Elephas maximus indicus: one gene and its partner. The protein of the gene in region 1 purifies or fractionates together with the protein of each later gene. This does not show direct contact. Links are inferred from orthologs where the notes say so. Each region holds a gene or a part of one and is shown in the gene's direction. Other genes may lie near its edges.

Evidence for each region.
Region 2: the proteins of PRDX5 (region 1) and PRDX2 fractionate together in Homo sapiens (co-fractionation; 3 studies listed by BioGRID). This does not show direct contact. The link is inferred for Elephas maximus indicus from reciprocal best matches to the Homo sapiens genes PRDX5 and PRDX2.

What each region holds. Positions count from the first base shown.
Region 1 is NC_064825.1:127,486,265-127,502,506, forward strand, and holds PRDX5 (peroxiredoxin-5, mitochondrial), read left to right. Parts: upstream 1-9,654; 5' UTR 9,655-9,811; coding exon 9,812-9,997; intron 9,998-11,076; coding exon 11,077-11,211; intron 11,212-11,683; coding exon 11,684-11,815; intron 11,816-11,891; coding exon 11,892-11,930; intron 11,931-12,062; coding exon 12,063-12,124; intron 12,125-12,234; coding exon 12,235-12,340; 3' UTR 12,341-12,479; downstream 12,480-16,242. Other genes in the region: ESRRA (steroid hormone receptor ERR1), read left to right, coding at 1,776-2,310, 5,747-5,863, 5,986-6,114, 6,472-6,639, 6,735-7,004, 7,360-7,619; TRMT112 (multifunctional methyltransferase subunit TRM112-like protein), read right to left, coding at 8,515-8,622, 8,700-8,804, 8,907-9,008, 9,098-9,175. UniProt on the Homo sapiens protein: Thiol-specific peroxidase that catalyzes the reduction of hydrogen peroxide and organic hydroperoxides to water and alcohols, respectively.
Region 2 is NC_064821.1:31,494,657-31,510,037, reverse strand, and holds PRDX2 (peroxiredoxin-2), read left to right. Parts: upstream 1-8,109; coding exon 8,110-8,212; intron 8,213-8,300; coding exon 8,301-8,454; intron 8,455-9,068; coding exon 9,069-9,191; intron 9,192-9,360; coding exon 9,361-9,491; intron 9,492-10,084; coding exon 10,085-10,170; downstream 10,171-15,381. Other genes in the region: RNASEH2A (ribonuclease H2 subunit A), read right to left, coding at 938-1,070, 1,179-1,302, 2,262-2,349, 2,456-2,593, 3,896-3,983, 4,115-4,241, 4,366-4,437, 4,615-4,741; THSD8 (thrombospondin type-1 domain-containing protein 8), read right to left, coding at 5,892-6,091, 7,163-7,313; transcription factor JunB, read right to left, coding at 13,036-14,079.

The sequences.
Region 1 (16,242 bases):
ATATGTATATAGTCTACCTTCACCAGTGCTGCAGCCACTAAGCGACCTCGCCCACTACTCTCTAGCATAGCGTGCCCCGCCTCCTCCGTTACCTAACAGCGCCCCTGGCCCCACCCCTCTCGGCTCTTATTCCCTGCGCAGCTCTGCGTCTCCTCTGGCCCCGCCCCCTCGGCTGTCTCCTACGCATGTGCGCCGCTGTGGCTCGGAGGCGGCTGGGCGGGACCTTCTTAAAGGCCCGCCCACTGGCTCTGCCCGCTCCGCCCCGACTCGTCCGGGCACGCAAGCGCTGCCTGCTCCATTTGTCTGATTAGCATAGGGCGCCGAGCCCCGCCCCCTGCTTTGCATGCGCACGGCCGGCCCCGCCCCCGCTGTCAGCTGGAGGAAGCGGAGTAGGAAGCGGCAGCGATGTCCTTTTGTGTCCTACAAGCCGCCGGCGGCGCCGCCGAGTGAGGGGACGCGGCGCGGCTGGGCGGCGCGGCCCGAGGAGGCGGCGGAGGAGGGGCCGCCCGCGGCCCACTGTTCACCCCGGCGCTCCGGGCCGCTCGGCCCCCATGCCTGCCCGCCCGCCCTGCCGGAGCCCCAGGTCCGGGGGCGGAGGGGAGCGCTGCCGGGGGCGGGCGGGGCGCGGGGCCATGTGCGAGCGCGGCGAGGGGCGGGCTCCAGGCGGGGGGTGGCCGGCCTGGGGTCACGGTCCCGACCCCGTCGAGAGCCAGGAGAGGTCAGTGTTCCGGGCAGCGTCCGGCGTCTGGATCCTGGTGGGCCGGCCTAAGTCTCAGGGTCTGGCCCCGCTCAGGCTTGGGCCTCGGATCCAGCCCCAGGGCAGGGTTCAAACCAGCACCTGGGACATGCCGAAGTCCCAGGGGCTGGCCCGGGTGGAAGATGGGGAGGGTTCTCCGTCGGGCAAGGGGCTTTGAGGACCACGTGGGGGCGCTCAAAGGGGCCTTGGGCCACCCTCCTCTGTGGGTCAAAGGTCATCGCACCGGCGGGGGAGAACTTCCTCCTCCTTGGCTCTCCCCCATTTACTTCCTGATAACCTGATAGAGGTCTCCCGCGGGCGGAGGGGGAAGGGAGGCGCAGCAACTTTAGACAACTTCCCGTAGGTGTGCGCAGGTTTGGGGGGGCGGGCGGAGTGCCCCGGGAGGAGGAGGGCTCTGCGGCAGCAGGAGTGAAGAGTGAATGCAGACGGGGTACTAGGCGGTGGAGGCGCGCCCGCTGGGGTGGCCGGGATTGAGCCTGCTGGGGCAGGAGCGGCTGTGTGTCAGGTGCTAAAGGCCTTGATGTGTTTTCTCCACAAGAGTCTCTGCCGGTGTGTAAGTGTGGGGCACGGTGGGAGTATGAGCGTGTTTGTGAGTATGAGTTTGCTTACGGGTGCACACTTGGGGAGGAGTGTGTAAAGACAAGTGTGAGCATGAGTGAAGACTGGGGTTTGGGAAGGGCCATGTGAGATTCCCCGGGCGAGTGAGCATGTGTGAACATGTGGGAACACCTGGGCACCCAGGTGAGTGGGAGTGTGTGACGGCGTGAACATGTGTTTGTGAGTGCCTCAGCTGCCGTCAGTGTGCTCTCTTGAATAGAGGATCCCAGGTGAGGGGACCATGGAGGCACCCCCAATATCTGACAAAAATTGGGAGTGATCCTGCTTCTGCCGGGGGGTACCAGCCGGCGTTGAAGGTGACCAGAAAGCCAAGGTTACCCTACCAGCCTGGGTGGGAGTAGGGGATTTCAAGCACCCTCACCAAGGGGAGACCTGCTGTCAGTTACTGGCCCTGGAGGCTATGGAGACTGTTCCCATGGCAACAGCTGGGGGCCCTTCTCAGGGCAGCCCTTCCTTGGACTCTGTCCCCTCTCCCCCCCTCACTGAGCCTGGTAGCCTGGCCCTGGGCCCGGGGTTGGGCAACCCAGTGGCAGTGTGTCTTTCTTCCCCATCCCCCATCCCAGTGCCTCCCTGGAACATGATGGGTATCTCTCTGCAGGTGACGAGCGCCATGTCCAGCCAGGTGGTGGGCATTGAGCCTCTCTACATCAAGGCGGAGCCAGCCAGCCCTGACAGCCCAAAGGGCTCCTCGGAGACTGAGCCTGAGCCCCCCGTGGCCCTGGCCCCTGGTCCAGCTCCCACCCGATGCCTCCCAGGCCACAAGGAGGAGGAGGATGGGGAGGGAGCTGGGCCTGGCGAGCAGGGCGGTGGGAAGCTGGTGCTCAGCTCCCTGCCCAAGCGCCTGTGCCTGGTCTGTGGGGATGTGGCCTCCGGCTACCACTACGGCGTGGCGTCCTGTGAGGCCTGCAAAGCCTTCTTCAAAAGGACCATCCAGGGTGAGCCCCCCACCCCTGTGCCCTCTGCCCTATACCCACTGGGCCTCACGCCACTCACTGGGTGCCCTGCTGGGTGCAGCGGCCCCCAGGCTACCATGGTCAGTCTAGTGTTCCCAGGCGCTTCCACTTCCTAGGAACACCCATTCCCTGAAAAGTTCAATAAAGCCCACCAGGATTTATGGAATGGATGGGGGTATGACAGGAGTCAAGGATGCCTGCCAGGTCTCTGGGTCCACAGTGGCTCTGAAAATTTCAAGGCAGGCCCTGCCTGTTCCTCATCTCAGTTCTTGCTTCTAGCCATTGCCAACCTCTCGTAGCATAGAACATGCCCCCTTTTTTCTCGATTTCCCCAAAGCAGCACCAACACAAGGCAGGCTTTTATGGGTGACTGAGGGGGGCTACGGCGTATTTCCATATCCAACTTGAAAAAGATTATGAGGCATCCGTGTTCTTCAGAGTCACTGCATTTTTCCTGCTTGGGAAAACATATCAAAATACAAGTGCGTGGGCAAGATGCTGATGTAACTGTGGCTGGGAATATGCCTGTTATTTATGTGTTTACTTAAACCATTGGTTACTTTGGAACATATATTTTTTTCAACATTTCTCCAGTGCTTACCTTGTGCCAGGCATGGTGCCCTTTTACTTTTAGGATCAGCCTCCACAGGAACCCCGTAAGGTGTGAGCACTATTGTCATCGTGTTTTACAGGATGGGGAAACTGAGGCTCAGAAAGTTTCTTTTTTTTTTTTTGGTGGGGGGAGGAGGGGACTTTGTTCAAGTCATACAGGTAGAGAATGGTGGAACCAGGATTTGAACTTGGGTTGATTTAGGTCCAGAGCTGAGGTCTTCAGCAGACTCCTGCCTGTTTATTACTAATAACTGAACTTCGGACAGACGCCTCACAACTGATTGTGACATTCCAGCGAGTTTTGACCTGGCCCAGATCCACTGGTCTAAAACCCTCTGTGCTCCCTCCTGGCTCTGAATACCAAGGAGCAAACAGACCAGGTCTAGGTGTTTCCTACCCACCCTGGGACTCTTTGCTCTTTGCTCACTCAGTTGACAAATACTTACTGAACCCCAGCTATAAATAGTAGCTACCATTTATTGAGCACTTTGGTGCAGTGCCCCATGTGCACGTTCTACCTGTATTATCCCCCTTAATTCTCACAACCCAGCTTTGTAATAAGATGGGAAAATTGTGGGTTAGGGATGGAACCTGCCCAAGGTCACACAGGTGGTAAGTGGTAGTATCAGAATGGGCCCCAAGCAGCCTCTAGAGCCCTCCTTCACAAATCTGTGCTTTGCTGCCCCGGCCACTGTCCCAGCATGGAGACAGAGCTGGGACCAAGGCCGGACGGGCTCTGCTCTTGAGCAGTTTATAGTCTAGCAGAGAGGAGAGATAGGGAACAATGGGCTGTACAGATTGCTCTATTACAGCTGAGGCGAGTGCTGGAGGAAGACGTACAGGTTGTGTACGGAGGGACCTGGCTGGGTCCAGGGCCTTGGAGAGCTTCCTCGAGGAGGTGTCTTGATCAGAGCATGGAAGCCCTAATAGGGTATAGGAGAAAATGCACTGTGGGGAGAAATGTGCCACCGACCTGTGGACTGCTGTATCGTTTTGGTCCCTGTGATAGCCCATCATAGCTGCAAGGGCCACCAGTAATTGTGAATGCCTACAGTGGGCCAGGGGACACTGGTGGTTCAGTGGTAGAATTCTCGCCTTCTATGCAGGAGACCTGGATTCAATTCCCAGCCTGTGAACCTCACATGCAGCCATCACCCATCTGTCAGTGGAGGTTTGCATGTTGCTATGATGTTGAACAAGTTTGAGCGGTGCTTCCAGACTAAGACTAGGAAAAAAGGTTTGGTGATCTACTTCCAAAAAATCAGCCAGTGAAAACCCTATGGATCTCAATGGCCTGGTCTGCAACCGATCACAGGGATGGCACAGAACTGGGCAACATTTGGTTCTGTTAAGCATGGGTTTGCTGAGTCAGGGGGCCAACTCGATGGCAGTTTACAACAATGACAACTGTGGGGCCAGGCCCTGTTCATACCACGGGGGACTGGGGACCATCTTGGCCCTCATGGAGCTGACACTAAAGTGGGAAGACAGATAATAAAGAACATGAATAAGCACAATATGTAGCATATTGGTTGGTCCTATGAGCTGAAAAGAAACTATAACAGTGGGTAAAGAGGACAAGAGGTGTCTGCAGTGGGGGTTTGCCATTGCAGGATGGCCAGGGAAGGCCTCCCGAGGGGACAACTGAGCAGAGACCTGAAGGACGCAAGGAGCCTGTGTGGCTATCAAGAGCCGCTCAGTCAGAGGTGACAGGATGCCCTGAGGCAGGGCCTGTGTGAGGAGCACCCAGGAAGCCGGTTGATCCGGAACGGGTGCAGACAGGGAGGTGAGGTCAGAAAGGTGACAGGGAGAGGGGGGTAGGCCTTGCAGGCCATTGGGTTCACTTTGGCTTTTACTCCAAGAAGGGACGATGTTGAAAAGTGCAGATGAGAGACAGGATCTGACTTGGGGTTGTAGGTCCCCCCTACCCCGGCCGCTGTGCTGAGAGTAGGCCGAAGGAGGCACAGCCTGCAAGATGGCAAGGGGACAGTGCTTCAGGACAGGGTGGAAGCAGTGGACAGGCAGGAGGGGTCAGATCCTGGGTATAAGGGTGGTGAGGCCCACCAGGACTTGTGGGCAGTTTGGCTGTGGGCTGTGAGAGGCACGGAGGATGCCGCCTCGGTTTCTGGCTTGAGCGTCTGAACAGATGGAGTTGCGGGCTTTGGGGCACAGATCAGGAGTTCCACTTTGGATGTGTAAGTTTGAGATACTTTCTAGACACACATGATGTTGAGGCAGTTGGATGAGTTGAGGGCAGGTCTGGACTAGAGACAGAAATTTGAAAGCCCTCGTGACTTTCAATCAAGGGAGTGAGTGGAGAAGCCCAAGGGCAGAGCCCTGGGGTTTCCGGTGGAAGGAGGTCAGAGATGCACAGAGATCGCAAAGTGGCCAGTGAGGTGGGAGGAAGACCAGAAGAGTGTGGTATTCTAGGAGCAAAGGAACATGTTAAAGTGCTTCTAGGAGCTGGAAGTGATCAACGGTATTAGATGTGCCTTTTAGGCCAAGATGAGGACTGAGACGTGACCACTGGATTTAGCAGCATGGAGGTCACTGGGACCTTGATAGCAGATGAGGGCCGAATGGCCTGAGGGCAGAGGTGCGGGCTGACTCCCCGGGCCCCAGCCATCCCTTGCCCACGCAGAGGCCCCAGCCCAGTGGGCTTCCTGCCCCTCATGGAGCTCCTGCTCTCCCTTTCCTCCCCACACCCCCAGACCTGTGCTTGACTGGCCAGTCAGGGCTCTCCTGTAGGCTGGGCCCCCTCCAGGCCCTGGGTGGCGGCCACTGGAGCCCTGCCTCTTCCTGGCAGGGAGCATCGAGTACAGCTGTCCGGCCTCCAACGAGTGCGAGATCACCAAGCGGAGACGCAAGGCCTGCCAGGCCTGCCGCTTCACCAAGTGCCTGCGGGTGGGCATGCTCAAGGAGGGTGAGCGCTGGGCAGGGGCCTGGGGGAGGCTGGAGGGAGCTGGGCGCACAAGATGGACAAGGCCTGTTGGGGAGGGCTCCACAGGGCAACCTCACGGACACAGTCCTATCCTACAATTCCAGGGGTGCGTCTGGACCGTGTTCGGGGTGGACGACAAAAGTACAAGCGGCGGCCAGAAGTGGACCCGCTGCCTTTCCCAGGCCCTTTCCCTGCCGGCCCTCTGGCAGTAGCTGGAGGTCCCCGGAAATCAGGTGAGTGCACGTGGATACCTGAAGCTGCAGGGCTGGGGTGGGGCTGGGACACAAGAAGCCTCTGTGGCATCATTCACCCCCATCTATTCATGCACTCATTTCTCTAAGAAATATTTATGAAAATGCTGTTCCTGTATCAGTTATAGGAGAACTGGGGACAGGAAGGGTTTCCTAACACTCAGAGCCTGGCTTTCCCCTGGAAGTAGCTAGAGCCTTTCCCTGGAGGGCAGTGTCTGTGCCTGGCTGGTCAGCAGCCATTGAGGAAGGCCACAGGGGGACCAACTCTGGGAAGATGCTTAACCCTAAAGGGCCTGGTGAATTTGAGTGCCCCTGAGTAGTCCCCAATTGTCCCTGCAGCCCCAGTGAATGCATTGGTGTCTCACTTGTTGGTGGTCGAGCCTGAGAAGCTGTATGCCATGCCCGACCCAGCAGGCCCCGATGGACACCTCCCAGCGGTGGCTACCCTCTGTGACCTCTTTGACCGAGAGATTGTGGTCACCATCAGCTGGGCCAAAAGCATCCCAGGTAAAGGGCCCAGTGGTCTGGGGTACCCTGGGGTCAGCCAGACCATGCCTGGCTCTGCACACTTGCTCAGTGAAGCTTGCTCCCCTGTCCTCCAGGCTTCTCGTCGCTGTCGCTGTCTGACCAGATGTCAGTGCTGCAGAGCGTGTGGATGGAGGTGCTGGTGCTGGGTGTGGCCCAGCGCTCGCTGCCACTGCAGGATGAGCTGGCCTTTGCCGAGGACCTGGTCCTGGATGAAGAAGGGGCACGGGCAGCCGGCCTAGGGGAGCTGGGGGCCGCCCTGCTGCAGCTGGTGCGGCGACTACAGGCCCTACGGCTCGAGCGCGAGGAGTATGTCCTGCTGAAGGCCCTAGCCCTTGCCAACTCAGGTGAGTCTGGGGTGGGCACTGATGGGTCTCTCCACAGGGCCCTCCAGCTTTTAGTGCTGTGATGGCAACAGGGTCCCATTTGGCAGATAAGGAAAACAGGACTCAGGGAAGAACCCTGACTTCTGAAGGTCACACAGCAAGCCAAGGGCAGGGCCAGGAATTGTACGCGTGATTTTTAACCCTAGGGCTCTGTTCACAGGGAAAGAAGGGGAGGAAGGGAAGGCAGGGAGGACCAGAGGCAGCTATAGTTGAGTGGGAAAGGGCGGGCCCCTGGCAGGAGCCTCCACCCCAAGCAGATGGGGGCTCTGCTCTTTCCGGAGATGGCCCAAGTCACAAGTTCTCCCCCTCTCTGCAGACTCTGTGCACATTGAGGACGCTGAGGCTGTGGAGCAGCTGCGAGAAGCCCTGCACGAGGCCCTGCTGGAGTATGAAGCTGGCCGGGCAGGCCCTGGAGGGGGTGCCGAGCGGCGGCGGGCAGGCAGGCTGCTGCTCACACTACCACTCCTTCGCCAGACAGCGGGCAAGGTGCTGGCCCATTTCTATGGGGTGAAGCTGGAGGGCAAGGTGCCCATGCACAAGCTGTTCTTGGAGATGCTCGAGGCTATGATGGACTGAGGCGGGGGGTGGGCACAGGCGGGGGTGCTGGCAGGACCTGCCAGCATGGGTTCAGCCCCAAGGGGGTAGAGCTGGGGCCTGGGCAGTGCCATAGCCTGCTGGCAGGGCCAGGGCAATGCCATCAGCCCCTGGGAGCAGGCCCCACATCCTCCCCTCCCCAGGGGGGTGTCAGAAGCTGGGAATGTGTGTGCCCATCCTGTGGGCAGTGCTGCCCCTTGCAAGCCATAATGTGCCCCCAGAGTGTAGGGGGCCTTGCGGAAGCCATACGGGGCTCCAGGGGTGGTGTGGGGGGCAGAAGCCTGATCTCAGGGAGGGAAGGGGGTGGAGACTACAGTCTCCCAGTGGGTGATGCTTTTGCTGCTGCTTAATCCGACCCCCCCCTCCAGAGCAGAGGGGGACTTGGAAAGCAAAGGCCTTGCCCCCTTCGCTCCTCTCCTCATCATTTGCATTGGGCATTACTGCCCCGCCCCTTGAAGCAATAACTCCAAGCAGGCTCCAACCCCTGGACCCCCTGGGGTGGCCAGAGCCCCCATTAGCTCCTACCCGGCCTCCTCAGGGGGTAGGGAGAGCACTGCCTCTATGCCCTGCAGAGCAATAACACTATATTTATTTTTTGGTTTGGCCAGGGAGGCGCAGGGACATGGGGCAAGCCAAGGCCCAGAGCCTTTGGCTGTACAGAGACTCTATTTTAATGTATATTTGCTGCAAAGAGAAACCGCTTTTGGTTTTGAAACTTTAATGATAAAAAAAAATATATCCTATCGAGCTCAAGAACACTCTGTTCGGTGTGTCACTGGGCGGACGGTTGAAGATGCACACGACAAAGCCAGCAAACAATATACAAAAAAGCAAAGATACACACGGTTCCCGAACGAAAAAGGGGTGTCTGGGAAATTTAAGTCTCGGTTTCCTCATCGTTCAGCAGCATGTTGGGGATCCCGCGGCTGATGGGGAAGAGACGTCCGGACTCTGGGCATTGGAGGGTGCCCTCCAACACGTCCACCTGCGGGGAGGGGTGACAGCTGACACTGGCGGCCTGGGGCGGGGTAACGGGGGGAGAAGGTGGTGCGCCAGTCTCACCTCCAGCAGCACGTGGTGCATCTTCCTCAGAAATTTTTCATCGCGCTCGTATCCCTCAGTCGGCGCTTTGGGGACCTCGACCAGATGCAACTGCGGGCAAGAGGCCTAAATCATGTCTGGGCATCCCTGACCTTCCCCCTCGGGCCAGAGCCAGGTCCCGGGGGAGCGGGGTGACCACCCCCGGGGTGTCCACGGGCGGGTTCTCACGGTATCTGCCGCCTCCAGAAGAGCCGCCCACTCCACCTTGGGTATCATCCGCGCCACGAAGTCGGGGTTGAACTCCACGGGGTTGATGCGGACCTCGGTGGCCTGCAGGGCGGATCGGTGAGTTAGGCAGGACGGGACCCCTGCTTCCCCATCCCACCTGGGCGAGGCGCAAGAGGACCCCGGGCAGGTACCTGGAGCCGCAGGGGATAGCCGCGGGGCCCCACCCCCCGCACATGCGAGCTCAGCAAGTTGTGGGTGAGCAGCTTCATGTCGCCACTACGCGCTCGGGCATAGACCGGAGCCGGAAAAAGGCCCGCACCCCGTGCGTCACATCCGGGGCTGCGCCACTCTATCCCATTGGACGGCCGGGAGGACCGGAAGCGGCGAGCTTGCTGGAAGTACTCTTGCCTCTCGCCAGAGCTGTGGGCCGTAGAAACCGTCGGATCACGCGCCGCCGCCGGAAGCGTCCGCTCCTGCGGCGCACGCCCACTGGTTTTGGCGGGTCCCAGCCTCCCCCGGCTCCTGGAGTGTAAGTCACTTGTGAAACAATTGCGGTGCAGGGGGCCGCGTTGAATGCAAATAAACGTGGTTTTGCCTCTCACACAGGCGCCTGACCGCCCTCCATCCAAATAGAGCGGGACCTCCCCTTTTATGCAAATAGCTGCGGGACTGCCGAGTGCTCCGCCCCGTTTGTAATTGCGGCGTGGCCCCTCCCCGTATGCAAATAAGCGGAGTCGCGGTAGCTTGGTCCCCAGCGCTGCAGCCTACTGGCCGGTGGGCGGTCGCTGGAGGCCCGCGGAGCAGAAGCCCCACCTTTCACAGGCTCTGGGGTTCGCTCGCTTCGGGCCCCGCCTCCTGCGGGGGTCGGCCCGAGAGACCTGGCGGTTGCTGTCGCAGGGCTGGGCATGGGGCTGGCGGGGTTGCGCGTTCTGGGCGGTCCAGCGGGTTTGGTGCTCAGTGGGGCGGCCGTCGTTGAGTCTGCAGCAGCGGCAGCGGTGGGAGCAGGACGGCGACCGGGAGGAAGAGGAGAGTGGACGCTTGGCGGGACTCGCAGTTTCAACAGAGCAGCCGCAGCCATGGCCCCGATCAAGGTGACCGCCTGCCTGGCCGGACCCGACCCCGTCTCTTCCCAGAACCGCCACCCGTCCCACTCGTCTGGGGGTGTCACCCTCTGTTTTGCCCTTCGGAGCCCTCCCGCCGCTGGTCCCCTCACCCTTCATCAAGACCGCCCTGACTGCTCCCACCCCCTTTCTCGCCACAATTTGGAGCTTCGTGCCCTTTTTGTCCGGGAACAGTCTAGGGCCTTCTCGTTCCCCCATCTTCTGGGACCATCTCCTTCGCCCCAGGGCTCCCTCCCCACTCTCCGCAGGTTCCCCACCGTAACCTATCCCACACTTTTGTCATTGCAAGGCATCGCTCTTCACCCCCCCACCACCCCCGCTTAAACAATTGTTGACCCTCAGAGCCTGTTTTTTTTTTTTTTTGCCCGTTCTCCTCCGCGACATTTTTCCCTCTACCCAGAGTTAATTTTCATCTTTCTGTTCAGTCTTTTACTCCTCTCGTCCTCTGAAACCACCCACAGTCCCTTCCCCCCTTTCCCTCCCACACCCTCTGAGATCCGCTCTGCCTCTACATCCCACATCCAAACTCTGGGCCCCTTAGAGACTCCCTTTTGTCTTTGCCTCCCCCAGCCCCATGCAGCCCTTCAAGGCTTTTATTCTACATTTCTGCATCAGACCGTCCATCCCCCATCTGCTGCAGGGTGGCGGCGCTTTCGGCCTGGCCATGATCCTTTCCTTCCCCATTGTCAGGGCCCCCGTCACACCTCCTCCCCTTGCCCATCTATCTTACTCATTTCCCATAACCCAGACAGCTTGTTTACTCAACCCCTTGCGACACCTGGGGAGGCTTTCTGTCCCTTTCCCTGGTGTCACCAACACACCCTTAGAAACAGCAGACATCTGTGGGCCAGGAGGATGTGGGGTAGTCTGGGTGGGATCAGGAGGGGGAGGGTGGCGGGGGGGGACATTTAAAAACTGACAGGACTGGACTTTCCAGCTGGCTCCACCAGGCCCAGCCACCAGGCAATCTCTTCCCTCCTGGCCTTGCTCTGCTGCCCCTCCCTTAGCCTTTGCCTCCTGACTCCTAACCCTGGAGCCCTTCCCTCTAGGTGGGAGATGCCCTCCCGTCAGTGGTGGTGTTTGAAGGGGAGCCTGGGAACAAGGTGAACCTGGCAGAGCTGTATAAGGGCAAGAAGGGTGTGCTGTTTGGAGTTCCTGGAGCCTTTACTCCAGGCTGTTCGAAGGTGAGGCCCTGCCCTCCTGGGGATCAGGAATTTGGGTCTTTTGTGCCTGTTTTTTATTGCTCAGAAGTCAGTGTGTCCTTCCAAAGCCCTGAGGCGGCTTAAAGTGTATTAGCAGCAGTTTAAGTATATTAGCATTCAGGAAGTAAGTAGTGGCTGTCAAAAGATAACAGTACCAGGAAGGTAGCAAAAAGGATTATTGCAGTTAAACTCAACACCTTTTGTTGGTCTTGCTGGATGGCAGGCACTGTGGAAGGCACTCCTGCCCATGGGACATTTATGGTCTTGACTACAGAGTGTTAAGTTTGAATCTGAGCTTCCAAATGGCCAAGGCAAACAGGAAATAGGGCAGTTTTGCATACTTCTCTTTGATCAAAGGAATTGAAGCAGGGAAGTGAGGAGGGGAGAGAAGGGGAGGGCCAAGGAGCAGGGGCAATCATCCCTTTGTTGACCCTTCCTTGTTTTCCTTCCCTAGACCCACCTGCCAGGGTTCGTGGAGCAGGCTGGGGCTCTGGAGGCCAAGGGAGCCCAGGTGGTGGCATGTCTCAGTGTCAATGATGTCTTTGTGACTGGTGAATGGGGGAAAACCCACCACGCAGAAGGCAAGGTGAGGTGCAGGTCCTGCCAGGGTCAGGGGTCAGGCAGGAGATTTTCCTGGTGACCTTTATTTTCTTTCTGCTCAGGTTCGGCTCCTGGCTGACCCCACTGGGGCCTTTGGGAAGGTGAGTGTGCACCCCCTCTCACCCTATGGGGTGATTTCTGTGCCAGGCCTTGGGAGCAGGGACTTAGAGGTATGCTGGGCCCATTCTGGGAGTTCCTGACCCTTTTCTCTGCCTCCGCCTCCCCCCTGCCAGGCGACCGATCTATTATTAGATGATTCCTTAGTGCCACTCTTTGGGAATCATCGGCTCAAGAGGTAAGAGTGGGAGGGTCCTCTGGGGCCCTGGCTCCTGCCAGCCCTCCTCTGTCCATTCCCAGCCCCCAGGCCCAGTCTGATCTGACTAGCCTGGCCCCTCTTTCTGGCAGATTCTCCATGGTAATAGAGGACGGCGTGGTGAAGGCCCTGAATGTGGAGCCAGATGGCACAGGCCTCACCTGCAGCCTGGCCCCCAACATCCTCGCACAGCTCTGAGGCCCCGGGCCCAGATGCACTCTCTCTATCCTCTACTCGTCTTACCTGCCCAGCCCTAAGCAGGAGGCCCAGCTCACCCTCAGGAGGGTCACTCGGTTGGAACCTTGGCCATGTTTCTGCAATAAACACTTGTAGTTCACATTCGCCTCCTTGTTTCTGAATTGCTGCTTCTCTGGGGACCAGGCCTTATGACATAGTCAGAATGAGCTGAGAACTGTGAGGGGAGTGGACAGGGGTGGGAGGGATTAAACGTAGGGAACCTAGATTTAAATAAGGGGTAGTCAGGGATGTCCTCTTGAAGGGGGTGTTATGAAACATCTATTTGGAAGCCAGGGAGGGCCCCCGAGGCTAACACAAGCTCCCGGCATATCCACGACCTGTGTGATCTCAAGTGCTGGCTGATCTCCCTGAGGCCCATAAACCCCAGGGCCAAGAATCTCAGCTCTAGGGCCCACCTGGGGACCGTCTCAGTGGCAGAAAGGATTTCAGTGGAGGCAGGGCCAGTTGAGTTCAGGTGGGTTTCCTGAGAGAGGAGTCTGTGTAGTTGAGCTGTGGAAGAGAGAAGATGCAGGTGGTGGGTGTATTGTGAGGGGCTGCAGGCCCTGCCCATGGGCCTCAGGCTCTTGGCCCTTGGAGGCTGTGTGCGTTTAGCGGGCAGTGATGCTCCACCAGGTCCTGGCCAGGTGTGCACACTTGCTGAATGTTTACTGTTGCTAGGCAGGGTGCTAAGCGCTTCAGCTTCAGGTGTAGCGACTCAATCCTCACAACAAGTCGCTTCAGCTTCAGGTGTAGCGACTCAATCCTCACAACAAGTCGCTTCAGCTTCAGGTGTAGCGACTCAATCCTCACAACAAGTCGCTTCAGCTTCAGGTGTAGCGACTCAATCCTCACAACAAGCCTGTGAGGTGTGATGTGTCCCCGCCCTGTTGTACAGAAAGGTTAAGTAAACAGGCCAGGCTTCTGCGGCCACGAGCAGGTGGAGTCAGGATTTGAACAGTGATGTCATGTGTGTTCTGTGGACTGCTTCCTGCCCAGGGGTCTCTGGGACTCAGCCCCCAGAGCTGGCTCACTCAGATCGAGAAGGTCTGGAAAGGCTGCTTGAGGAAATGACCCTGAGGTAGTGGGGACAGGCAGAAAGAGGCATGGAGGTGTGGGACAATCAGGCTACTGTAGCTTTCGGGGCAGCTGGAATAAAGATGCTGGGAGGTCAGGGGCCCTTTGAGCCTGGTAAGCGGCTTGCCTTTCATCCTGTGGGCACTTCGGGCCATTGAAGGGCTTTAAGCAGGGCAGTGACAGGTCAGATTGATACTTGGGCTACTGTGTGAGGTAGAATTGGAGCGGGACCAGCTGGGAGGTGAGGGGGAGCCATGGGGTGGGAAGGGGCAGTGAGACAAGTGATGTCCAGAAATGGCAGCCAGGACTTGGAGACCTGTTGGATTTGGGGAGCGAGGGTGAGTCCACGGGGCCACCAGGTAGAGGCTCAGGGGCCTGGGTGGTTGGAATTATGTCCTCATGGAAAAAGCACCCAGGAAAAGGATGGACTCAGCCTGCCCAAGACTTCCCACCTGCTTACCTTTTTCTGCCGCTGCACAGTGGTTAAGTGCTCAGGAGCTAACCAAAATGTTGGCAGTTTCAGTCTACCAGCTGCTTCTTGGAAATCCTATGGGGCAGTTCTGCTTTGTTCTCTAGGGTCACTATGAGGCGGAGTCAACTCGGCAACAGGTTTGGTTTTTTGATTTTGGTCTCTCCCATAGCTGCTGTCCCTGAGGGGTCCTGGGCCAGGGCAGGGCTGACGTCTCTCCAGCTTCCCAAGCCTTCGTGTAACCTGCCCACTTCTCCTCCCCTGCCAAACCTTGGGTCCTTGCTGGTGTGCTTGGTGGAAAAACCCTTTCATTCCTGGGCACCATTTTTCAATCCTTTCAATAACCCCAAGGCAGAGGTTGTCCCCCTCACGGGTGCAAAGGAGGAAACTGAGGCGTAGCATTTCCCCCAAGGTCCACAGCAGCCAGTAGGGTTAGGCTCTCTGGCCTTGAGCCCCTCTGAGAGCTCCAGGCGGAGGGAGTTCCTGAGTCAGTACCAGCAGCGTCTGTATCAGTCAAGTATGGTCAGAAAGCCTGTCCCTTGCTGTGCATCCTCGACCCCTTCTCTGCAGCCCTGCTATCACAGGAAGCCCCCATCTCTGCCACTCAGCTGCCCATTCCTCCACTCCTGGGGTTTTATCTGAGTTGGTCGAGGCCCACTGAGGCACCTGAGAGGAATGTTCCCTTCAGCATCATGTTGAACATCTGGGCCGGGAATGGGGGTGGAAGGGGGCTTCTAGGGGCTGGGTAGCCCTTTAGAACGCAGCCCAGAGGGGTTGGGGTGTCCAATGCGATGGATTGCTTTTATATGGCTTTTCTTGCCATAGTCTTATAGCCCCACCAGATGGTGGGATTATGTAAATGAGGTGCTTTTGGCTCACCAAGGGGATTGGGTAGCTTGCTAATAATGCAAATAAGGTGCATGGCACTCTTGTTGGGGTGGGACCATGCAAATAAGGTGTATGGAACACTAACAAAGGGATGGTCAATTTTCCCATCCTGCTTGGCTTAAAATGAGCCATCCCAGAGGCGGATGGGGGACCTCACTACCAGCAAGAAAAGATGAGAGTGGAGCTGGTCATTTGGACCTGGGGTCCCTGCACTGAGAATCTCCTAGACCCAGGAGGCAGAGAGGGAGAGCTGTAACGCCAGAGATGGCGTGAGACGGTGAGAAGTGGAAGCAAGCATGGCAGAGAACCAGCAACAGCAGAACCAAGAGACTTGCAGGAGATGGAGTGGTGGGCTTCCTGGCCCATAGAGTGAGAAAGCTGAGTGCCTTCGGGCTGAGGCTTACTGGGGGTGTGGGGTGGCCCCGGGCACTTATTGTTAGAGCTAAAGAGCTTTGTAACACTTGCTGGAGCAGGACAGAGGGCAAGGGGCCAGGAGGAGGCCTGCCTGTGGGCACAGCTGAGGAGTTGTCCTGGCTGAAGAACTGTATCCTGAGTCATCCCTGAGCCTGAATTGTAACCTGTTACTTCCCTAATAAATTTTAAGTATGGTCTGTGAGCTCTGTGTGGCCATTGCAACGAATTATCAAACCCAGCAGAGAAGTAGTGCCGTGGGAGGGACGGCTGGTATCAAAATTGGTAAAAAAGTTGGAGAGGAGGTATGTCTGCCCTCTGCCTCATAGCAGTTAGCCTTGGGCTGTTGATCTTGATTCTTGCCCCTTGTGAAGTTAGAGGTCAGAAGCCCCTGCACCGCCATTTTTACAGTGGACCCTGGGGTGTTGACCTGGGTGCCCTTGGCTGCTGACCGCATGGCTCAGCTCGTGGGGGTTGGGTGTCCTGGGAGAGCAGGGTCCCGGGGCCTGCCCTGTGAGTTGCTCTGGGTGCTGGAGGGCCTGAGATCAAATGGTGCACAGCAAGAGTGTCTGGCAGAGCCCTGTTTCCAGGGCAGACAGGCCAGGTTTCAGCTGGGACCAGAGGCCCTGAGCAGTGGGCATGGCTTTCCTGGTCTGTCAGTGGTCAAAGGACCAAGAGATATAGCAGTAAAACATTAAAAAAAAAAAAAACCTGAACTATCCCCCCATCTTATCCCCAAATAACTCTTGCCTTCCTGTCCCCTGCCTGACTTGCCAAAAGCCACAGCATCTCTGACCCAGAAGCCAAGGGTTTTACTCAGCATCAGTGGTTCTGGGCCTTTTCTGGGTCAAGAGTTCCCTTGCGGAGCTGCTGAGAACAATGAATGACCTTTGCCTTAGAAACTGCATATGCAGGCACGCGCACACACACGCACACATGGACTCTAACGTGCTCTTTAAGGGCCTCAAGGAACACCGAAGCCCTTCCAAGATTTCCAAGTGTGCCCCTCCCCCGCCTGGTG
Region 2 (15,381 bases), on another chromosome or scaffold:
GTATGAGTTGGAATGGATTTGACAGCACTTAACAACAGACTGAGTTGGTCAGCGCACTTGGAGCAGAGCGTGGGAAGTGAGATAAGATCTTGGAAGGCCTTGAATACCAAGCAAAGGCACTGCAACCTGATAAGGGGTGAGAACCATGGAAGCCTTAAGCAGGGGAGGGCCCATCAGGCCACCACTTGGAGACAGAGTGGGGGGAACAGTGCCTGGAGATGAGTGGCACCAGCGTGCCAGGGTGCTAGGCAGGGTCCAGAGAACAAGCAGGAGGTAATGAGTTCCAGAGGGCTTGAGAGGCATATCCACAGGGATGTGGGTTTGCAGTCCTTTGAAAGTCCTTACGAGACAGGGTTGTTGTCAACCTCATTTTAAATAAGACCCTGGAAATAGACTTCTGGCAGGTTTAGCGTGGCGCCCAGGACTTTGCATTTCTAAGAGGACTCTGTGGTGTAAAGGGATGAGGAAGGTCTCTGGACAACCATTTGAAATTATTGGCAAGTCATATTTGGAGAAAAGAGTAATGTGCACAATTCAGGGTATAGTTTGCTTCCATTTGCGTAAAAAAAAATTTTTTTTTTTCAGGAAGAGAGTGCACCTGTATGTGTTTGTATCATGCCCCACTGTCTCTGCAGGACCCACGGGCACCTGCGAGCCCACAGTGAGCTGGGGGCAGGTTGGCTGTGCAGCTTCTCAATGTGCTCCTTTCTAATTTTGAATCATATAAATACGTCGCAGTATTTTAAAAGTAAAATAAAATCAGTCACCCAATGTCTACCCCATTTAGCTTCCCAAAGGCAGTAGCTAGGTCCAGCCACAGAACACGCCCACCACCCTGCCTCTACCTCAAAGTACAAGCCTACTCTTGGCTTTCGTTAACTGTTTTAATCACCAGCTGGGGAGAGAAGCGGCAGATAAAGGGGGGACTGCCTGGCTTTTAGAGGGTGGTGGCTGACTCCAGGCCACGCTCCTGGAAGTATCGGTGGGGGAGGCGGGGACGGGGGCCTTCACTGAGGAAGTAGGACGTGATCCTCCTGAGTCCCTCCTGATCCTCTGCCAAGGAGTCCTCCCTGTGGGAGAGAGGGGACAATACTGACCCTTTCCAGGGGATGCCAGCCCTCCAGTCAGGGCTGAGCCCGCTCCTCCCTCCACTCCTACAGCACCACCGGGGCACTCACCATGTAACACCTTCCGCCTCCTCCTCCAGGATGCTCTGGGCTGTGCGCCAACTGAACCGGACAAACTGGGGGAAGCCGAAGATGGGCTCCACATGCTTCTTCAACCACGCTTTTGTCTTGGGATCTGGGGTATGTGGTGGGCAATGGCCCCTGAGCTGCACCATAATATCCAAGCTCCTCAGCCTGGCATCTGAGGCTCTGCCACCTCATCTTAGGCCTCCTTTTGCACACCTGAGTCACCTTCCACTGCACATCTTTCTGCCTTTGCACAGGCCACCCCCCTTCACTTGCCTGACCAAGAGTTGCTCAAGTTGCAGTTTAGGGAGACTGCTGCTGAGAGATCTCCCTGACCCCCCCAAGGACAAAAGGAATTAACATTTGTTGATCTAGCTGTGCAAGTAATGATGAGCTCAGGAGAGGTAGGGAGGTCCTTGTTTGTCTTGCTCACTGCTCTACCCCCAGGGCTTGGCCTTGCATGGTATGTTACCAGGTGCTCAAAAGTGCAGAATGGATGCCCAAACTATCTTTGGCAGGGACCTGATTTCCTCACTTTGGCCTCTCACCCGAGTTCCAATCACAAACTGGCTGTGCTGCCCCACCCCACTGCCAGCCCTTCTCTGGGCCTCAGAGAAGGATGGGAAGATTCCTTGAACCCAGCCACTTCTTATCTCCCCTTATGTGTGGCGAGGGGAGGCATGATCACTCTCACTTATGGATGAGGAGACGGAGCCTCAGAGTTGGAAGAAAATGGTGGAGCTGGCATTCAAACAACAGCTGTTTAACAACAGCCTGCGTCCCTTCCCCTTAATGGGTGAAGAGGTGCCCACTTTGGGTCTCAGCCCTTCACTGGGGCTCCAAAGAACAGCAAAGTGGGAGGAGGGCCAGCTCTGCTGCACACTGGTTGTGTGGGTGTGGGCAAGTGGCACCCCTCTCTGGGCCTCAGCCCCTTCTGCTGTAGAATAGGATTACCAGAACAGTTTAGAAAACCTCAGAAGCATGCTCAGCCCTGGCCAACTTGGCATTAGTATTGCTGGTGCTACCCTGAGGCAACTCCAGAGGCAGGCTGCACCACTGTCTGCTTACCATTGGGGTAGCCCGAACCATAATCAGCATCCACGTCCTGCAGTTTCTCCACGAACTGCCAGCTCCTCACTGCCTGGTCTCGGGCCACCTGTGGGCAAGATGGGCACTTGGAATCTCCCTCCCCTGCAACAACCAGCGCCTACCCCCTGCCCACTGGGGTGCTGGAAGCTGGCCCAAGCCCAATGGGGGCTGACCTTGGCGCAGATGCTGGCAGCACTGACCACGGGGTACAAGGCATCTGCCTTGGCCTTGACTGTCACCTCAATTCCAGGAAAGCGCTGCTGTAGCCGCTCCTGGTACTTCTCTGGTAGCCCCACAGTGTCCACAAATACCTATCACAGCAACAGACACGTATTCGGTCAACACCCCAAAAAACAGCTGTGCAAATTATCCAGCCTCACAGCCTTTGCATTTCTGTTCCTGCTGCCCAGAATACTCTTCTTCCAGCTTATCCCCAGCCTGGATCTTTCTTATCAATTCATATCAGGGGTCTTGGATCAAAGGTCACCTCCCAGAACACGTATTGTGTGCCAGTTGCTATTCTAGATGCCAGGGACATGGAAATAAAAATCCCTTCCTTGTGAAGCAGACACCCTGAGGGCCACAAACAAGAAACAAGATAAATAATAAATCCTAGGGGAGAGTTGGAAGGGGTTATAATTTTAAATGGCGGTAACGGAGGTTCAAGGAAGCACTCTCTAAGGTAATGACATTTCAAGAAAGATCTGAAGGTGAGTGAATAAACCATGTGGAGATCTGGGAAAGAGTGCTTAGGCAGAGGGAACTGCCAGTGCAAAGGCCATGAGGTGGGACCACATCAAATATGCTGGAGAACAGTAGGGAGCCACAAGGCTGGAATAGAATGCTGAGAAATAAGATCATGAAGGTAACAGGGACAAGTGATGTCTTCAGGGCAGTCACCATTCTCAAAGGTTACCTTTATTCTTTAGTTTACCAGCTGATCGTCCATCTCCTCTCACTAGGCCTTGAAGCCGAGAGCAGGGCCTACGTCTGTCTGCTCCAGGGCTGCCTTGCCAGCTCCTCCTGCTGGGGATGGGCCTCAGCTACCTCCTCAGGGAGGTTTCCCCTGTTACCTTCCCCAACTCAAGTATTCCCCCTTGTCGTTGTCTCAAAACAGTCTGTTCTTTGCCTCCGTACACTCAATGTAATGTTGATTCATGCTTCTCTGTAGTAATTTAACCTCTTCCTTACTCAACTCTGAACTTTCCTGATTTAAATCTTGTAATTAGTAAATTAAATGTCAGACAGAAGAGGGAACAGGAGTGGAGGCGGGGAAACCAGGGAGGAGCCTGGGGCAGGAGTCCAGGTGGGGGTGTCCTGGGCCAGGATGGAGGCTGTGGGCAGGTGGACAGATGTGGGATTTGTTCTGGACACTAAGTCTTTAGGAAGACTGATTAGATTGGGGGAGGGGAGACTGAGAGAACCACGCTGGTCCTTGGTGGGACATGGATTTCAGGCAGAAACAGGGGTAGAAAGTCAACAGCAGGAAGCAACACTGCTGAGGCACTTGCCATGCTTCTGATGCTGAACCTGCCCACTGTACTTTTTCACCCCTATTTTATCTAGAGGTGATCAAATGGGGGCAACCCAGGTACCAAAATACTTAGGCTCACCTGGGTGACTTTCACACCCCGGTCCAAGGCATACTGCACCAGCCCAGCGGCCGTATCATGGGACAGGGAGTTCAGATTGTATTTGACCCTGAGGTTTAAGAGCAGAGCCTAGTGAACCCCTTGCAGCCACAGAGCCAAACCTCCCCATGCTCTCTACCTCCCCCAGAGAGCTGGCTGCACCTCCATCCCGACCACTCTGGGGGTGGGGAGACCCCTCACCGCCCAAGCATGCTGGTGGAGATGAGGTTTGGAGACAGCACGTCCAGCGCCCAGCCCACAAAGTCCCTGTCCTCCTTCATTTTCGCAAAGAGCCGGTCCCGCTCGCTCTCCGACAGGGTCTTCGAGTCTGGGAGGATTGGGAGAGAAGGTTTCTGGTTCTCTCACTTCCTGCCCTCCTCCAGCTCTCACTTGCCCTGCATATACCCTGGAACCACCTCTCAAGACGTACTCCCTCGACACCCCGGGCTCACCTGCCACTTTCAGGGCCTCCAGATCTGCCAGGCGGGACAAGGGGCAATAACAGATGGCGTAGACCATGGGGCCTGGGGAGGAGAGGTGTCAGGTTTCTGGAAGTGGGGGTGGCTCCCGAATCCAAGCAGCGAGTATCGTGAAAACCCCCATTCCTGTTCTATCACCACCGCTTTTTTCGTCCACTGGCACAATGCCATGGCCATCATCATTCTCACGCCCCTCCCCCGCCCCTGGCCCTTGTGGCGCACCCAGCACAGGGCCCCGGCCCGCCTCATCCACGCCCAGGACGCAAGGCTCCTTGCGGCACACCGCGGGCACAGGTGAACTCAGGCGACAGCGGCCCGTATTGTTTCTCTCCAGGTCGCTGAGATCCATGCCGCCGCTTCTGCCGCCAGTGCCAGCCGCAGAACCGCCGGCTGCAAGCGCAGGCCTCGGCGCGCGTCTTGCGCGGGCTCAGCAGCGGCGCTCACTCGGGACCAATCGGCGCACAGGACACACGCCCGACGCCGCTGACGTTCGCGCAGCCGACGCGGACGCCGCTGCCGCTCAGCTTCCTGGAAATTGTAGTTCTCAAGATCGATAGCGAAGAGCTTCTGGTGAAGAACGGGGTAGACTGGGCCCCTATCCAACCTGCGTTCTGCCGGCTCCGGACCCCCGCCCATAGGAGCTGGTGGAAGGAAAGGGAAATAAAGGGAGAAACTGAGGCAGGGCATGGAGGACCCAGCCCTGTAGGGGTCTAACCTAGTGCCGTCGAGTCGATTCCAAAGGTCAAATATAACTACGCTCCCCAAACACGGGCCTCAGCATCACTGGGGCTCCGTCCCCCACTTGGATTCAGGCCCTTATATTCGAAATCCCTGCCACCTACACAGCCTAAGCTCCCTGAACTAGGTACCCCCGCTCTTACGTGAGCTCAGGCCGTTATACTTGGGGTCCCCACCCTCCCTGTCTCAGTCACTTTTTTGGAATCAGGATCCTTGCCCCCCACAGGGTCCCTGCCTCCCACCCTGTCTCACTCGGGCTGAGCCTCCCCGTCCCTCGAATTAGAATCCCAGAGCCCAAAAGGTTTACAATCTCGGGCTCAGGGCTTCCACTCATTATACAGGCTCATTCCCCCAATTCAAGGTTCATGCCCTCCCCTTCCCCCACCCCCACCCCCCACTGTTCTTCCTCAGTCCCCCAGTCTCAGCGAAGCTCACTTCTCTCAGTCCTGTCTGCGATCCTTACCGCTTCTCTCCCTCTATCCCCAGGTTTCAGCCGGGCTATCGTTCTCGGTCTGTGCGTCAAGGCCTTTCACCAGGCTAACGTCCCTTACTCAAGGTCCCGGTTCACCCCTCTGCGTCGTCCCCATTCCTGTCCCCTTCTGCCTGTGGCTCCTGGTTCCCTACCAGGGCCAATCTCGTTGGCTTTGGGTTCCCACCCCACGCAGTCCTTCCACTCTGCGAGCCCCACTCCTGCAACTCACGTCCCTGAACTTGACAGCCCCCTAGGCCCCGCCCCCTCTGCGCCAGTCTCTCACGCGGGCTCAGGGCCTCCAGTTGCACTGGATCAGCTTGCAGGATGGACAATCTCCTTGCCGGCAGGGCCGCATCTGCACCAGGTTCTCACGATCCATGAACACAGGGGCCGGTGCCGTACCCTGCACCTCGCGGCTGCGCTCCTCCTTCCCCAGGTCGCAGAGGCAGCGCCAATTTCCCCACGGGCTCAGGATCGAGTCCTCCACGTCTGGGGGTGGAGGGCTGAGATGAAGACCCAGGTAGAGGGGAACAATCCCCCTATGCCCTCTTCTAGCTACAGAGCCAGGTGCAGAAACTGAGACCTAGAGAGAGCGAGCCACCCTTCTGAGGTCACACATCTGACAAGTGGCCCAGCGGGATGCAAACTGACACTTCCCACCTGCGCCAACCCGCCCAGCTGGGAGTATGGTACACCACCCTTGGTGCTTGGTGCTTGGTGCTTGTCTTCAGAAGTTGACTGCGGCCTTGAGGGAGGTGGCCTTGGCCTGTTCAGCGGGCACCATGCCACCAGACCAGCAGAGCTGTCAGGTGGTGAATTAAATGACTAATTAAATGATATAATGAAGATACTTAAAGCCCCTAGCACTGTGTTAGCACACAGAACAAAAAGAATTCTAATCATCACTTTTAAAGCAGCTATCACTTATGGAGCACTTAGTGGATGTTCTTTACGAAAGCTCTTCTGCTGGTTCCTCCCTATGCCCGTATGAGACAGGTCTTATCCTGATTCTACCACTCATAAGGCCAGGGCCCGCTGATCACGTCCTCTACAACTCTCTCCTCACCAAGCCTCCACCACCCTGGCCTCTTTCCATTCCTCCATTAGGTCTTTTGGCCTTTGTACATGCTGTTCCCCTTTCCTGGCACACTCCTTCCACCCAGTCCTTGCATTTTTGGCTTTTGTTTGTCAGTCCAGCTGCACTGGTTATATATCTTCTTTAGCAGGGCCTTCTGTGACTTTCCAAGCTTACCCGCCCCCTCCTGTCTCTATCTCTGCTCTTCCTAGCACCTACCCATGAGTTTATGGATGTCTGCTTCTGTGCTTATTGCCTGCCCACGTCCCCTCTCCAGCTGTGAGCTGCTTAAAGTCAGCCTCTTTTCCAATTTATAGATGAGAAAATTGAGTCTCAGAGAAAAGTAATCAGCCCAAGGAGAGACCGCCAGGGAGGAGTAAGGCGGGAATCTAGAGTTCGTGGGAGGAGGTCTCCTTGCAGCCGGCTGGCCAAGTAGGGTCATGGAAACATCATTCGGGGTCGTCACCCCTGCCACCTGCGGTTACCTTTCGGTTGCTGCAGCCGCCGCAGCTGCTCCCAAGTGTCGCCTTCGCCCTGATCGCCGAAGTACTGGTAGTCGTAGGACCCCTGGACAGGCGTCGCCAGGAGCGGGAGTATCAGAGGCAGCAGAAGCAGCCCCGCCCGGCTCCGGGCCATGCGAGATTCCAACCGCCCACAGCGCGCTCCCGGGCCTAGCCTCACGTGGACCCGCAGCTCCTTCACTAACCCCGCGGGCCTGCATGGTGGTCGCGGCCGGCGGCTGCAGGTCTCCCCAGCCGCCCGCGGTGCGTGGAGCCGACCGGTTGCGCTCCCCTCTCTGCCCGACTCAGTGGACCCGACCGCTCCGTTCGTCTGCCACGCCCCCCCCCCGCCACGCCCTGCGCGTCATGGTTCGGGCCGCGCATAAAAGGCTCCGCAGCCCCTGGTGCTCGTGACGCTGAGATCCAGAGTCCGCCCGTCTGGCTGTCCTTGCGTCCAGCCCTAGCCCACGCAGGTATAGACACCGGGTGTGCACCCGGCTGGGGGAAGCCCCTTTCGAGCAGCTCCGGCCCTATCCGGACCTTATCGCTGGCTGCCTTTGTTTTCCTCCCGCCGCAGTAGCCGCCTTTGTCCTTGAGGGGGAAACCGAGGCCGGAGCCTTGGAGTACAGGCCGGATCGCCGGGCTCCCCGCCCCCCTGCTCGCGGGGGCTTCGTTGTCTCCTACTGGGACTGGGGGCTTGCGCCAACAAGCTAAGGGGGGTCAGGCAGCAGCGGCCGGGCCGCTGGTGCTCTGGTCAGTGGGCGGCTCCCAGTAGCCTCAATATCGCGTAGACCTGGTACCAGGGAGGGCGGGGATCAGTGTTGCTGCCTGTGCTGCTCTAACGGGGCCCCCGCACGCAGCATGACCTTGGAAAGGGAAGACAAAAGGTCTTCCCGGGCGGGCTGACCGGGCTGGGGTCTCAGCTTTCAGTCATGGCCTCCGGCAACGCGCACATCGGAAAGCCCGCCCCTGACTTCCAGGCCACTGCAGTGGTGGATGGAGCCTTCAAGGAGGTGAAGCTTTCGGACTACAGAGGTGAGGACAGCCTAGAGGAGGCCCAGGGAACTGGCCCAGGCATAAGGGGGTCTGGGCCCTAACTCCTCGTTTACCCCTACCCACCCAGGGAAATACGTGGTGCTCTTTTTCTATCCGCTGGACTTCACCTTTGTGTGTCCCACCGAGATCATCGCTTTCAGCGAACATGCTGAAGACTTCCGCAAGCTGGGCTGCGAGGTGCTGGGGGCCTCTGTGGACTCTCAGTTCACTCACCTGGCTTGGTATGAGGGGAGCACAGGAGGAGGGTAGTATGCCGCTAGGCCCATACCTTAGGGTCTGAGCTGTGTGGCTGCATGACCATTGCTCAACTTCTGGGCCTCCCTTTCCCCATCCTGAAAATAATGGAAATAATGACACCCAGTTCTTAACGATGATGACAGTAATTAGCATTTGGAAACTCGTTGCTTGTCGCCCAGAGTCGCAGACGTTTTATCTCACATAGTTTTTGGGAGGGAGGCTGTACTGCCCCATTTTGTGAAGGTGGAAACTCCAGTTCAAGGGCGTAAAGGGCTGGGCCCCAAGTTACAGGGCTAGAGAGGAGCACCAGGACTCTAGCACATGTTCCCCCCCCTTATGCTGGAAATCAGTAGCATGTGTGAAGGCACTCCTTTGGAACTGGAGTGCCAGTCTGTAGGCTTTAGTCTTCCCAGGCACCAGAAACAGCCCCTGCACACACTTCAGGGCGGGGTGGGTGTGTCTCCCAGGGCTCTGCTCTAAAGCCCCTTATCTCCCACCTCCAGGGCCCCCCCCATACTTATCTCACCCGGGCCCAAAGGGTGAGGACCCCGCTGTGCCGGGCCTCCTGTGGTGCCAGTCCCGTCTTCCCAACCCCCAGGATCAACACTCCCCGGAAGGAGGGAGGCTTGGGCCCCCTGAACATCCCCCTGCTGGCTGACGTGAACAGAAGTTTGTCCCATGATTATGGTGTGCTGAAGGAAGATGAGGGCATCGCTTACAGGTACAGTGAAGCCCTCAGTCAGGCTCAGGGAGCCTCATCCCCAGGGTGAGGGGACCATGCTTGGGCAACGCCCTCTCTGCTCCCAACCCTGTGTCTGGCAAGAGGTGGGTGCTCCCTGTTCTGGTCCTGGGAGTTCCCAGCTCCTCACCATGAGCCTTGATGTCTTCAGAGGTCTCTTCATCATTGATGGAAAGGGTGTCCTTCGTCAGATCACAGTCAATGACTTGCCTGTGGGGCGCTCCGTGGATGAGGCTCTGCGGCTGGTCCAGGCCTTCCAGTACACGGATGAGCATGGGGAAGGTGAATAGTTCACACACAGCTCCTCTGTCATTCACGCAAACATTTACTGTCAGCCCTTCCACCTGAGCAGGGCAATGTTAGGGTCCCATAGGCGATTCAGCTCAGGGCCTTGTCTTCAGGAAATGCCTCATGTGGCGGGAGAGATACCCCAATAGAATACAAGGATGGAGAACTGGGAGGTAATACAAGCCATAGAAAGTATTTGAGGCGGTGCATACTGAGTCAGGTTTGAATAATGTTAGCTGGATCAGAGAACCTTCTCATGTGGAAGGGATAGTCTGGCCATAGACTCAAAGTCAAGCAAGGCTAGGCTGAGGGACTGAGACTGGGTTGAAGGGCCTAAAAAGAAAATGAGGATAAAAACAGGAAAATTATTAGCCAGAAAATACTACAGCTGGGCCTGTGAGGGTAAACACAGATGATAGAATGGTGATTGAATGGAGGACTTCTATCAACATGTGTATTCCTGGACCTGAACCACTAGGCCCAGGATTTTTCTTCTTCAACTCAGGCTCTTGTTTTGCCTCTGTTAGTCCCCTACTACTGTCCCTGCCTTGAACTTGGGGCTCACACATGTCTGTGTCTTCCCACAGTATGTCCCGCTGGCTGGAAGCCGGGCAGCGACACCATCAAGCCCAACGTGGATGACAGCAAGGAATACTTCTCTAAACACAACTAGACTAGCAGGCAGGGAATAAGTTTGGGCCCTCTTTCCCCACCTGTTCCCCTGCATGGGTGCCCCATGCTGACCCAGGAAAGGCCAGACCTGTCCCCTTGAAACTCCCCAATCTGGGATCCTGGAGGGTGGGGCTAAGGCCCTCTCATGCCCCCACCTGGAAGCTGATGGATGGTGACCCTCCCTCCCCAGAGCCCACCCATCGGGGCACAGACCTAAGGAGACCAATAAATTATTAGGACAGGTGCAAATCTGTGTCGGTGTCATCTGTCCTGGCAGTGCCCCCAACTCCCATGTGCTTTCTCCAGCCTCCGGCCTGGGAAACTGACCCTGAAGTTACTTATCTCTACCACAAGATGGCAACCTTACCTCATGGTCACTGCTAACTCTTCTCCCTCCTTTTCCTCGGTCTGAGGGCAGTTCTGGAGTGGTGGGGAGGAGAAGATGCTGTTTGCCCCTGGCAAGGAGCAGTCTCAGGATGTTCTACATCTTGAAACTTGGCCTTCCAAGGCAGAACCCATAATTTGCTATCATCCAGTCTGAGTTCAAATGCCCTTTAATAGCTGTGATCTTCCCTGGGTGACTGGAAGTAAAGACAATCAAGCCATATCACTATGCTTAAAGGAGATAATGTGAAGCCCAGGGCTGGGTCCCTGCTTAAGGCCCAGTGAATGGCTACTAGGATGGTTGCCTTTGGCAGGACAGAGCCTAGTCGAGTCCAGTCTTTTGGGACCCAGTCCTGAGCTACATGCCCAGCCCCTGCTGCAGGCTCTGTTCAACTCCAGCCTGGAAGGGCTGCCTGTCTATCCTTGGCAAGGGTGACAGGGTGAAGGGTGGAAGGGTGAGCGTTAGGCAAGGGGCAGGTGTTAGGAGCAAGGCAGTGTTCCCAATGGTTACCACGCTGCTGCATAGTCTGATGCTGTGTAGGATCAGACAAGTGACTTTGCCACTCTGAGCCCCAATTTCCTTCCACAGAACTAGGCTGATATACACATTTAACCCACAGATTATTGACATTGTTACCCAGCCTAATCCCCTCCAAGTGTCACTCATCTCCCTCGGAATTTAATCTACGCTCCCCTCCAAGGCTTATGAGGCCTGACTGGCCTTCCCTGCCCTCATCTACCCCACCTGTGGCTCACTCAATTCTTGCCACCCTTGAGTTTCTGGCTGTTTCTTAACAGGCTGATTTTATTCTGGCCACAGGAACTTCAAAAGTGCTGTTCCCCCTGCCTCGCACACTCACTCTTCCCGGGATTTTCTCCAGGCCACCTCCTTCAAATCTGCTGAAAAATTGCCTCGCTAAAGGTCCACCCTCTCAATACACCCTCTATGGTTCCATCACTCTACGACCTGGATCTGTTTTTTGTTCTTCCTAGCACTTACCACCATCACGGAATGTTTGATTGTTTATTGCCTGTCTGCCGTGGTCCAGGTTACGTCTCCAGACTCTGCTCAGTATTTTATAAACGAGTTAGTGAAGTGCCTGTTCTACGCACCCCACCCCTATGGCCTGGTTTCTCTCTGTTTTCCTTCGCTGCTCTGGAGGCTTCCATCTGTTGCCGCAGCCGCCCCCCACCCGTTCCAGTAGCGGGGGAGGGAGCCCCGTGCGAGGGCGGTGGCGATGCCCGGCGGCCCAAGCAGCTGCCCCGGCAGGACCAGTCCTGGCAGTCACCCCGCTCTCGGCCTGGCACCCGGGAGGGGAAACAGTCAGGCGGGCACCGCCCTTCCTGGCGGGGGCAGGGTGGAGGACAGCGGCGGCAACGGCGCGGAGGCTACAGCGATCCCCTGCCTGGGTCAGGTCAGACTGAGGGGGCGTGGACGCGACCAGGCTCCGGCGCCAGCCTAATGGGGGAGTCTGCGGGTGGTTCCCGGGGCCCGGGAGCGCGGCCCGCCCACCCCGGGCGCTCTGGACCCAGGCCTGGGGCTTTCCGGGCCCGGGCAGACGCCTGCCCGGGAAAATCCCGGCCCCCTTCCCGGCGCTGCGGCCCTGCCCGGCAGAGCGGGGGAGGGGATTCCCGGAATCTGCCCGGAGACCGCCAGCGCGTCACTGGGCAGAATCGGTCCATGTATGGGCAGCGCTTCCGCTGCGTCAGCGGGGAAAGCCCCGGCGCGCGGGGCTGGGCGGGCCGCGTCTGCGCACTTCGCGTCGCGCCCTTGGGACACTGACCGCGTCCCGCACCTTCCAACCCCCGGGGACCACCAAGCTCAGGATATGAGGGCCGGACCGCTAGGCTGGGACATTAAGATGGCTGGACAGGGCTGGAGAGGGGGATGCAGGCACTGGAGTGAGCCCCAAACAGCGGTGGGGTGAGGGCCGCCCAGTACTCTCCTCCCTCCGCCCGCCCGGCTTAGAAAAAAAGACTCCAGAAATTAATAAAGAACTATTTTTTTTTTACTTAAATAAATTCAATAAAAAGTCAGAACAATAAACGCACACACACACACAAACACATCTTAAAATAAACCAAGCGTGTTTCCACTCCACAGTATAGTGCAGAGGGGGGAGGGCAGGGGGCGAGGTCCCCTCCCCAGTGTCCCCGCGGGCTTGAGTACCAGGCAGCGGGGCCAGCTCCGCCGCCATCGCCCCCTCCTCCCCTCCCTGTTAAATACACAAATATATTATATTCAATATGAATTGAGTCTGTTTCTAGAAGAGAAAAAAAAACATACAAAAACGTGGAAGGGGCAGCTTGTAAACGTCGAGGTGGAAGGATTGGGCGAGAGCCAGCAGGCCAGAGTCCAGTGTGGTTTGTGGCGCCCCTAGGCCCCGGGGCCGGTGTCCACGCCTGCCTCCTCGCCCCCCCTGGGAGGCGTGCGCCCAGCCGTCCAGGCTGGAGGGGGTGTCCGTACATAGCGGGGAGGCGCTCAGAAGGCGTGCCCTTTGACCCCGAGCAGCAGCTGGCAGCCGTTGCTGACGTGGGTCATGACCTTCTGTTTGAGCTGGGCCACCTGCTCCCGGAGGAGGCCGGCAGTGTTCGACAGCCCCGCGTTCTCGGCCTTGAGCGTCTTCACCTTGTCCTCCAGGCGCGCGATGCGCTCCAGCTTCCGCTTCCGGCACTTGGTGGCCGCCAGACGGTTCCTCAGCCGCTTGCGCTCCACTTTGATGCGCTCCTGGTCTTCCATGTTGATGGGGGACACCGGCGGCGTGGCGTCGCGGCTGCGCGCCTCCGGCACTGTCTGTGGTTCCTCCTTGAAGGTGGAGGCGCCACGGCCCAGGCCCAGCTGCGCAGGGTGGCCGCCGGCAAACGGCGGCGCGTGTGGGAGGTAGCTGATGGTGGCCGTCGGATACGAACTCCCGGTCCCGACGGCGGCCCCGGCGCCGCCAGAGGGTGCAGACGCCGGGGAGAAGCTGCTGAGGTTGGTGTAGACCGGAGGCGGCTCCGGACCCGCGTAGACGCCGCCGGGCCCGGCCGGGGGACCTCCGCTGGCGCCCAGAGACACGTTGGGGGGCGTCACGTGGTTCATCTTGTGCAGGTCGTCCAGGGCTTTGACAAAACCGTCGGCGAAGCCCTCCTGCTCCTCAGTGACACCTCCCCCTGCACCCCCTGCACCTCCGCTGCTGCCACCCCCGCGGGGGTAAAAGTACTGTCCCGGTGGCGTGGGCGTCGTCGTGATCACGCCGTTGCTGTTGGGGACGATCAGGCGCTCTAGCTCCGACGAGGCGAGCTTGAGCGAAGCGCCCGAGTCCGAGCCCTGGCTGGAAAAGTAGCTGCTGCCTCCGCTGCCCTCTGGTCCGGGGCCCCGCGCCCCGGCCGCTTTAAGGCCTCGGTAGGGGTCGGCCAGGTTGAGCGCCAGGCTGGGTTTCAGGAGTTTGTAGTCGTGTAGAGCGAGGCCGCCAGGGGCCCGGCCATAGCCCGCTGCTGCGTATGAGTCGTCGTGGTAGAAAGGTTGTTCCATTTTAGTGCACATCCGGGCGGCCCGGCGGGCTTGGGGGCGGGGGGGGTGGTCCCTGCGGGGCCGCCCGGGGCCTCGCTGCAGCGACCGGTGCGCTGTCCGCGGCGGTGACCGGACTGATTGTCGGAACGCGCGTTCCCGGCGACTGGTTCGGGCGGGGAGCGGCCAGCCGGCGGCTGTGCGCGAAAGCTCTACCCAGCTTCCCGTGTCCTCCTCGCCCTCTCTAGTGCGCTCGCTTTCTCTGTGTCGCTTGCCCCCGCTCCCCGTTCCCTGAAGATTCCGAAGGTGGCCTGGCCGCGCTCAAGGTCCCGGCCGCTGAGCAGAGAGGCTGGTCTTTATATGAGCTGTCAGCTGCGGAAGTGCGCTCGGATTGGCGGTCGCCCGAGCCCGGCCCCCGCGCCCCCCTCTTCGAGCGTGGGGAAGGGGAGGAGGCGGCTCGCGTCACTGTCAGGAAGCGCGTGTCCTTGTAAACAGCGGCCATGGGCCGTGTGGCTCGGCGCGGCTGCAGGGGAGGGGCTGGGGGACCCCGGAGTACGCGAGGAAGGATCTGCTGGGGGACACGAGGCATCTGGGGGAGGGGCTGAGAAGGAGCAATGGCTCCCTTGGAGTACACCTGAGAAAAAGGAGGACAGGGTACAGAGGAAGTGGGGGCGGGTATCCCAGGGTGTAAGCGAAAGGCCTGAGGGACCCGAAGTATTCCAGAGGGGTTGGGACTCTGATAATACCCTGGGAGCCCAAAAAAACAAGGGGAAGAGGGTTAAAGCGAGTAAATGGGAAGGGGTGGGGAAACGCCTGGCACAGGAATTGAGTGGGGGTTCCGGAACTTTTCACAGGAGGGACTTAGAAAAACGAAGAAAGGCAACGCTTAAAAAGGATACAAGAGGAGAAGCTGGAGGACCCATTATACCAGAAATGAGGAGGGATGCTGGCATCCATGGGACAATCTGAGGGCCCTGCCTAAGTGGGGGAGGAATGAAGATGGGGAAATTTAGATATGCATAAAGGGATGCGGGTCCTCGGGTACAGTTGGCCAGGGAAAATACGTGGAGTAGAAAATGGAATATGTCTGTCAGGGGCACTAGGTTGGGGAGTCACCGGGGTAATCTGTGAAGCCATGATGGAGAGTTAGAAGGGTTGGAACATATATTCAAATCAGAGGACAATGGCAGGAGGGTCCCCAGCTGAGATGTGCGAGGAAGGGGCTCCCAGGATCCTGGGGACTAGGCTGTGCCGAATCTTCCATGACTAGCGCAACCCCATTCGTAGTGACCCATCGGCGCCCGAATACTCTGTCCCCAGCTCCATGGCCTCCCCCAT